Oryctolagus cuniculus: one gene and its partner. The protein of the gene in region 1 purifies or fractionates together with the protein of each later gene. This does not show direct contact. Links are inferred from orthologs where the notes say so. Each region holds a gene or a part of one and is shown in the gene's direction. Other genes may lie near its edges.

Region 1 (3,249 bases):
GGGGCCCCTTCTCTGGCTGGGGGGCCGTGGCCGCTGGGCTCAGGCTCACCTGCTTGGCCTCCAGGTGCCCTTGGGGGGGTTCTCGTGGTCTCCCCAGGCCAGTGTCCTGCTCCTGGACTCTGGGTAGGGGCAACAGGGTTAGGGTTGGGTCTGGGAAGCAGCAGCAGGCCTGCAGGGCTGAGGACTGGCTCTCCGCCGGTCAGCTGGGCTCTGACTTGGCCCAAGGTGATGGTTTTGGACCAGAGACCTGTTTCTAGGCTCACTCAAGCCCCGGGGGGCCCCAGGCCCAGATGGATAGCCCCTTTGCTCTGGCCAGCCCTGCAGCTGCCCACTGCAGGTGGAGAGTGTGCAGCCGGGGCCCTGGGAGCGGCGTGGAGCCCAGAGCCCCAGGACTGGGGACAGAGCGGGGCAGACTCCACCCCATCGCTGGAGGCCCCAGCCCTCAGGGCCGCCCCACTCACCTGCGCAGAGCTTTCTGCTGGCCCTGGGGTCTGATTCGGCTGTGGAGGCAAAGGACAGTGGGGAGTGGGGTGGACAGTGCCACGGGAGGCAGGGGTCAGTGGCTGGGAGCTGTGGGTGTGGCTGTGGCTGGGTGGGTTCATCGCCGGCCTGACTCTGCCCCTCCCACTCTGGTCATTTGTCTTGCCCAGGACCTGACGGCCAGGACCGGAGGTGGGAGGAGCTGGCTGGGCTGGGGGTGGAGGGGAGGGCTTTGCACCTGCCAGCCCCGCCCCCAGCCACCCTGATTCCTGGAGTTGGGGGGCAGGGCCCTCTCTCATGCTTCAGGGCTCTCTCTCACGCTTCCTCCTGGCCAGATGCCGTGGTTCAAGGGCTGGAAAGTGGAGCGGAAGGAAGGCAATGCCAGCGGCGTGTCCCTGCTTGAGGCGCTGGACACCATCCTGCCCCCCACGCGCCCCACGGACAAGCCGCTGCGCCTGCCCCTGCAGGACGTGTACAAGATTGGCGGTGAGCGAGCCTGGCCGAGCCCCGCCCCCAACTCCCAGCTGGCGGCTGTGGCCGGGCGCACAGGCGGCTCCGTGTGCGGGTGTGGGGGGGTCTCATGCTCCCGCCGCCCTGGGAGGCCCCAGCGCCTGCCCCGCAGGCACACAGCTGCTCTGTGGGAGAGGGGGTCAGCAGAGCCCCAGGCAGGGGTCCTCCGAGAGGGGAGTGGTCCCTGCAGGGCGACAGCCCCTCCCGCGCACGGCGGCTCCCTGGAGCCTCCTCTTCCTGGCGCAGGCATCGGCACGGTGCCCGTGGGCCGCGTGGAGACCGGCATCCTGCGGCCCGGCATGGTGGTGACCTTTGCCCCCGTGAACATCACCACGGAGGTGAAGTCGGTGGAGATGCACCATGAGGCGCTGAGCGAGGCGCTGCCCGGGGACAACGTGGGCTTCAACGTCAAGAACGTGTCCGTGAAGGACATCCGGCGGGGCAACGTGTGTGGGGACAGCAAGTCCGACCCGCCGCAGGAGGCCGCGCAGTTCACCTCCCAGGTGGGCGGCGGGGGGAGGGGCGTTCATCCACTCGCAGCTCCCCGTGGGGCGTGCAGCGCGGGACCGAGGCCGGGCCTTGTGTGTCCGCCCCAGTTCTGCCGGGGCCCGGGGCAGGGGCGCGGTCCCCCGCGGTCCCCCGCGCTTTGCTGACCCCCGAGGAGGGCCCTGCGTGGGTCCCCCGCGCTTTGCTGACCCCCGAGGAGGGCCCTGCGTGGGTCCCCCGCAGCCCGAGCTTCCTCCGTGGCGGGCACTCGGGGCTGCAGCCTGACCGCCGCCGGCCGCTCCGCCCGCAGGTCATCATCCTGAACCACCCCGGCCAGATCAGCGCCGGCTACTCGCCGGTCATCGACTGCCACACGGCCCACATCGCCTGCAAGTTCGCCGAGCTCAAGGAGAAGATCGACCGGCGCTCGGGCAAGAAGCTGGAGGACAACCCCAAGTCCCTCAAGTCCGGGGACGCGGCCATCGTGGAGATGGTGCCCGGGAAGCCCATGTGTGTGGAGAGCTTCTCCCAGTACCCGCCCCTCGGTGAGCGCCGCTGGGCTCCGGTCGGAACCGGGCGAGCCCTTCGCCACGCGTGCGGCCAGGCGTGTCCAGCCAGTGGCCTGGGGCGCGGCGCACGTGCTCGCCGGGGCGGGGCGGGGCCTGCGGGCGAGGTCTGCAGGAGGGGCGGGGCCAGCGGGCGGGGCGGGGCCTGCAGGAGGGCGGGGCCGGCGGGCGGGGCGGGGCCCCGGGCGCCCAGTGCGCTTGCGCGCTGCCTCGCCGCCGCTGGCCCGTGACAAGCGTCCTCCTCAGGCCGCTTCGCCGTGCGCGACATGCGGCAGACGGTGGCCGTGGGCGTCATCAAGAACGTGGAGAAGAAGAGCGGCGGCGCCGGCAAGGTCACCAAGTCGGCGCAGAAGGCGCAGAAGGCCGGCAAGTGAAGCGCGGGCGCCCGCGGCGCGGCCCCCGCCGGCGGCGCCGCGCCCCCGCCCCCGCCCCCGCCGCGGCCGCGCGCCGCGCCCCGCCCCCCGGCCCCGCCCCGGCCGCGCGCCCCGCCCCGCCCCCAGACCCCGGCCCTGCCCCGGCGCGGCCCCGGCGCCGCGCGCCCCCGCCAGGCGCACGTCTGCACCTCCGCTTGTCGGCGGCTGTCGGTCAGCGACTGGATGCTCGCCATCAAGGTCCAGTGGAAGTTCTTCAAGCGGAAAGCGCCGCCGCCCCGGCTTCGCGCCCGCGCCCCCGCCCCGTGCCCGTGTTTCCAATAAACCGAGCCCCCGAGCCGTGTGCGCCTGCTGCTGGGGGGAGGGCGCCGGGGCAGGTGTCAGTGAAGTGTCCTCCCGCGGAGGCCGTGAGGGGCTGGGGGGCCTCCTCGGGGAACCCAGGACGCGGAGCCAGCGCCTCGGCCCGCAGAGTAGGGGCTCAGGGCTGGGGGGTCGGCCTGAGGCCCCCGCCAGCAGGTGCCCTGGTCTGGAAGACCCCTGCGCCGCCTGGGGGCTCCCGCCCCCAAGCGGTGGCCCAGGTTCTTGGGAGGCCAGGCTCGCCAGGACCTTGGTCAGCGGCAGGTGCTTGCGTGAGGACGGCGGTGTGGCTCCCTCCCCGTCCGCGGGTCAGCCGCTGGGGTCCGCGACACCGGGCCCAGAGCCGGGGCGGCTGGGCCGTGTCCCCTCCCCTCTAGGAAAGACTCCGCCCCTCCCCTCCCGTCTGCACACTGCGGGCCAGCTCTCCCTCTGCTCCAGGGATCCGCACTACCCTCACCCCGATGGCGTTTGCACCCCCT
Region 2 (4,104 bases), on another chromosome or scaffold:
CACCAGTTCAAGTCCCAGCTCCCTGCTATGGCCTGGAAAAGTAGGGGAGGATGGCCAAGGCCCAAGGGCCCCTGCATCCACGTGGGAGACCTGGAAGAAGCTCCTGGGTCTTGGCTTTGGACCTGCTCAACCCTGGCCATTGCGGCTATTTAGGGAGTAAACCAGCAGATGGAAGATCTTTCTCCCTCTAACTCTGTTCTTCGAATAAGTGAATCTTAAAAAAAAAAAAAAAGAAAGAAATCTGGGTCTGGCCAGCGCCACAGCTCACTAGGTTAATCCTCCGCCTTGCGGCGCTGGCACACCGGGTTCTAGTCCTGGTCGGGGCGCTGGATTCTGTCCCGGTTGCCCCTCTTCCAGGCCAGCTCTCTGCTATGGCCAGGGAGTGAGTGCTTGGGCCCTGCACCCCATGGGAGAACAGGAGAAGTACCTGCCTCCTGCCATTGGATCAGCGCAGCGCGCCGGCCGCGGCGGCCATTGGAGGGTGAGCCAACGGCAAAGGAAGACCTTTCTCTCTGTCTCTCTCACTGTCCACTCTGCCTGTAAAAAAAAAAAAAAAAAAAAAAAAAAATCTGGGTCCACGTGGGTCGCAGTGACCACTTGCTACCTGCCACCGTGCACACTGGCAGGAAGCTAGAATCTGAACCAGAACCTGGACTTGAACTCAGACACTCCAATACGGGATGCAGGATGTGCCCCATGTGGTGTCTTAGCCTCCAGGCCAAGCGTCCACCCCAGCCCTTCCATTAATTCACCCTTCCACTAATTTGGTAACGTGAGATTCCAAAATGCATTTCACGTCGCCGTATTTCTGCTTTAATCCAGCCAACGCAGTACACACTTTCTCCGGGTATCTCGAAGATACCAACAAGTGACTTAGCTTGTGCCGTGGAGTGGTGACTGGGAATTAAGAAACAGCCACTGTGCAACAGCGTCCAGTAGACGATTTCCAATATGCAATGCAGACGCGAACTCTTCCCCGCTAAGAAACAGCGCAAGCCCTGCAGCGTGACCCTGGTCGGTGTGCAAATGAGGCTCCTTCCGTACTTACGGCAGGCTCAGGCCGCTCCCTGCGCGGCCGGTTCGCCGCTGCCCGCTGGGCGCCGCCCTCGCGGCCCGGCCCGAGGACCCGCACGGGGTGCCCGCGGCGGCGCCTGACGGGAGTGCCGTTCCTGGGGGGGCGTCTTCGCGCTCTGCGCCCCGCGCCCCGCGCCCCGCGCTCCGTGCAGTTCCTTGGGAGCGCGGCGCGCGGCGCGTCCTCCGGGGCAGGGTCGGGCAGCGCGGGGCGGCGCGCGCACACGCAGGCGGGGCGCGGCCGCCCCCGCCAGGACCGGCGGGCCCGGAAATGCTCGCTGTCACAAAGGGGGGAACACGTGGGCGCCGACTGCCGGGCCGGCGGTCGCAGGGAGCCGGGGTCGCCTAAAGAGCCGCCCACCGTCTCCGAGGCCCGCCCAACTTCTCCGCCCCGGCCTCCCAGTTGGGGAGGGGGATTCCCGGCCCTGCCCGACCACCTCCCTCCAGTACGTACACGCGGCGCGAACCCGCGTCCACCGGACGCCGAACCGCTATTGCGAACTCCCGCACTCCCGGAGACCCCTGCGATCCTGGGGAGACCTCCGCCCCTCTTCCCCCAGGCGGGCTCTCCTTGTCACTGTGAGAGCTAGCCCCTGGGCTCCTGAGGCCTGAGCATCTCGGGCGCCTGCGGCAAAGGAGCCACCCCCCCCCCCGAGGGCCCCCTCTCTCTTCAATATAGGGTCCCTGCGTCCCTCAGTCTACCCCCGTCTCTTTCTCCCAGGTTTCGCCATCTCGTCCGGGACCCGCATAACCATGTCCATCCTTTACGTCTCCCCTCACCCCGATGCCTTCCCCAGCCTCCGGGCCCTCATAGCTGCTCGCTATGGGGAGGCTGGAGAGGGACCAGGATGGGGAGGAGCCCACCCCCGAATCTGTCTCCAGCCGCCCCCAACCAGTAGGACGCCCTTTCCCCCACCCCGCCTGCCGGCCCTGGAGCAGGGGCCCGGTGGGCTGTGGGTGTGGGGGGCCACGGCTGTGTCTCAGCTGCTGTGGCCAGCGGGCCTCGGGGGCTCTGGGGGCAGCCAGGCGGCTGTCCTCGTCCAACAGTGGGTCAGCTACGCCGACACGGAGCTAATACCGGCTGCCTGTGGGGCTACGCTGCCGGCCCTGGGACTGCGAAGCCCAGCTCAGGACCCCCAGGTGAGTGGGGAGGAGAGGAGGGTGAGGGGGAAATTGGAGATGATCGTAATAGAGCCATCAGATACGGAAAAACGTTGATCAAGTCCCAGATTGTCACCGAGTGTGGTAGCCTTGGGCTGGCTTCTTAAACTCTGAGCCGGGTGCCTGATGTAATACCAGCCTCGCTGAGTTAATGCGATTAAAGGATGTGTCAGAGCACACAGTCCCATGCCAGGCAGCTTCGAAGTTTCCAGGTAGAAGTTTGTGAGTTGGATGAGAATAGATAGGGGTGACTGGGACTTGAGAGAAGCCTGGGTGAGGGAGAGGTGGCGGCTGCTGGAAGGAGATAAAGGAGAAATTAAATGAGGAGGAAGGGAGAGGAGAAACCCTACCAGTTATGTCTGTAAGTCCTTCCAGAGCAGGGCTGTGCCTACCCGCAGCTCCGCCTCCTGCTACGGCATGTGGCAGGCTCGTGGTGTTTCTCGAATGAATGAATTTGTGACACAGACCCTGGCGTCATCGCCCTGTCTAAAATAGTCTCTTTTTCCTAGAATTTCTTGTTCCCATCAGCCTGCTGTGTGTTTCTTTGTAAGAGTTAAGAAAGGGCTGTGTACTAAGTAGTTGCTCATGTGTGGTCCTCCCTGTAAGCTGGCAGGCAGGGCTCGGCCTGTCCACGTGGGTGCCTCATTCCCCAGACAGGCGCTTTAAAAGAAATTAAGCCCTGGACCTGGTGATTACTTTGCTGCCTCGGAGGATCTTTAATTCCTGTGCTTACTGTATGGCCCTGGCACATAGTACGTGTTCAATAGAGATTTGCTGGATGCGTCAGAAGTATTGATATGAGTGTGTGAGCGAAGGAGAGACTGACCTCAGAGGTGGTGATCTGCAGGAGTGGGTGTGGAGGGAGGCCTACCAGATCGGGTTAGGGGGTGGACCAGGCCTGTCTCATCCCCTTCCCCTTCCCGCAGGCTGCCCTGGGAGCCCTGGGCAGGGCCTTGAGCCCCTTGGAGGAGTGGCTCCGTCTGCACACCTACCTGGCTGGGGAGGCCCCCACGCTGGCTGACCTGGCAGCTGTCACAGCCCTGCTGCTGCCGTTCCGATATGTGAGTCACTGGGGCCTGGGGAGGAACCGAGAGCCCCTCTCTGACCTTGCTATAGGGTGGCTGAGATGGTCATTCCCCGTGTTAGGTCCTGGACCCCTCGGCCCGCCAGGTCTGGGGTAACGTGACCCGCTGGTTCCTCACGTGCGTCCAGCAGCCGGAATTCCGCGCCGTGTTGGGAGAAGTGGTTCTGTACTCGGGGGCCAGGCCCTTCTCTCAGCAGCCAGGTGAGGGAGGGCGGATGGCGGCTCCTCTCCGGCTGGCCGGGGCCTGCAACAGCCTGCGTGAGAGGCGGTAGCACTGTTACAGAGGGTCCCAGGGACTGAGTGTGACCTCCTGCACCTCTCTCCAGGCCCTGAGGTGGCTGCACCCCCAAAGACAGCTGCTCAGCTCAAGAAAGAGGCAAAGAAGCGGGAGAAGCTAGAAAAATTCCAACAGAAGCAGAAAATGCAGCAGCAGCAGCCCCCCCCAGGGGAGGTGAGAGGCTCAGGGTGCAGCTGGAGGAGGTGGTACCCGGGAGGGGTGGGGAGGGGTGGCTGATAGCCTGGGCCTTGTCGTATCCCACCCCCACCCCCACCCCCCGCAGAAGAAACCAAAACCAGAGAAGAAGGAGAAACGGGATCCTGGGGTCATCACCTATGACCTCCCAACCCCACCCGGAGAGAAGAAAGGTAACCCCACCCTCCAGCTGCTCCGTCCAAGCGTTTGCCCCTTCTTGCTCCGGCCTTGCGGCCTTGCGTGCATCACGCTGCTCAGTGAGGGTGTCCGTCTCGCGATGGGCGTGCTAGAAGCCTGTCCCCCTGCGGGCCCACCC

What was found. Proteins that work in one complex are often made in the same cells at the same time.
Region 2: the proteins of EEF1A2 (region 1) and VARS1 purify together in Homo sapiens (co-immunoprecipitation; 3 studies listed by BioGRID and IntAct, counting the BioPlex papers as one, with this or other methods). This does not show direct contact. The link is inferred for Oryctolagus cuniculus from reciprocal best matches to the Homo sapiens genes EEF1A2 and VARS1.

What each region holds. Positions count from the first base shown.
Region 1 is NC_091442.1:452,058-455,306, forward strand, and holds the end of EEF1A2 (elongation factor 1-alpha 2), read left to right. Parts: intron 1-815; coding exon 816-966; intron 967-1,236; coding exon 1,237-1,493; intron 1,494-1,786; coding exon 1,787-2,021; intron 2,022-2,288; coding exon 2,289-2,416; 3' UTR 2,417-2,749; downstream 2,750-3,249. UniProt on the Homo sapiens protein: Translation elongation factor that catalyzes the GTP-dependent binding of aminoacyl-tRNA (aa-tRNA) to the A-site of ribosomes during the elongation phase of protein synthesis.
Region 2 is NC_091436.1:138,825,982-138,830,085, forward strand, and holds the start of VARS1 (valine--tRNA ligase), read left to right. Parts: upstream 1-1,304; 5' UTR 1,305-1,517; intron 1,518-1,792; 5' UTR 1,793-1,824; coding exon 1,825-2,211; intron 2,212-3,158; coding exon 3,159-3,293; intron 3,294-3,378; coding exon 3,379-3,517; intron 3,518-3,642; coding exon 3,643-3,767; intron 3,768-3,876; coding exon 3,877-3,961; intron 3,962-4,104. UniProt on the Homo sapiens protein: Catalyzes the attachment of valine to tRNA(Val).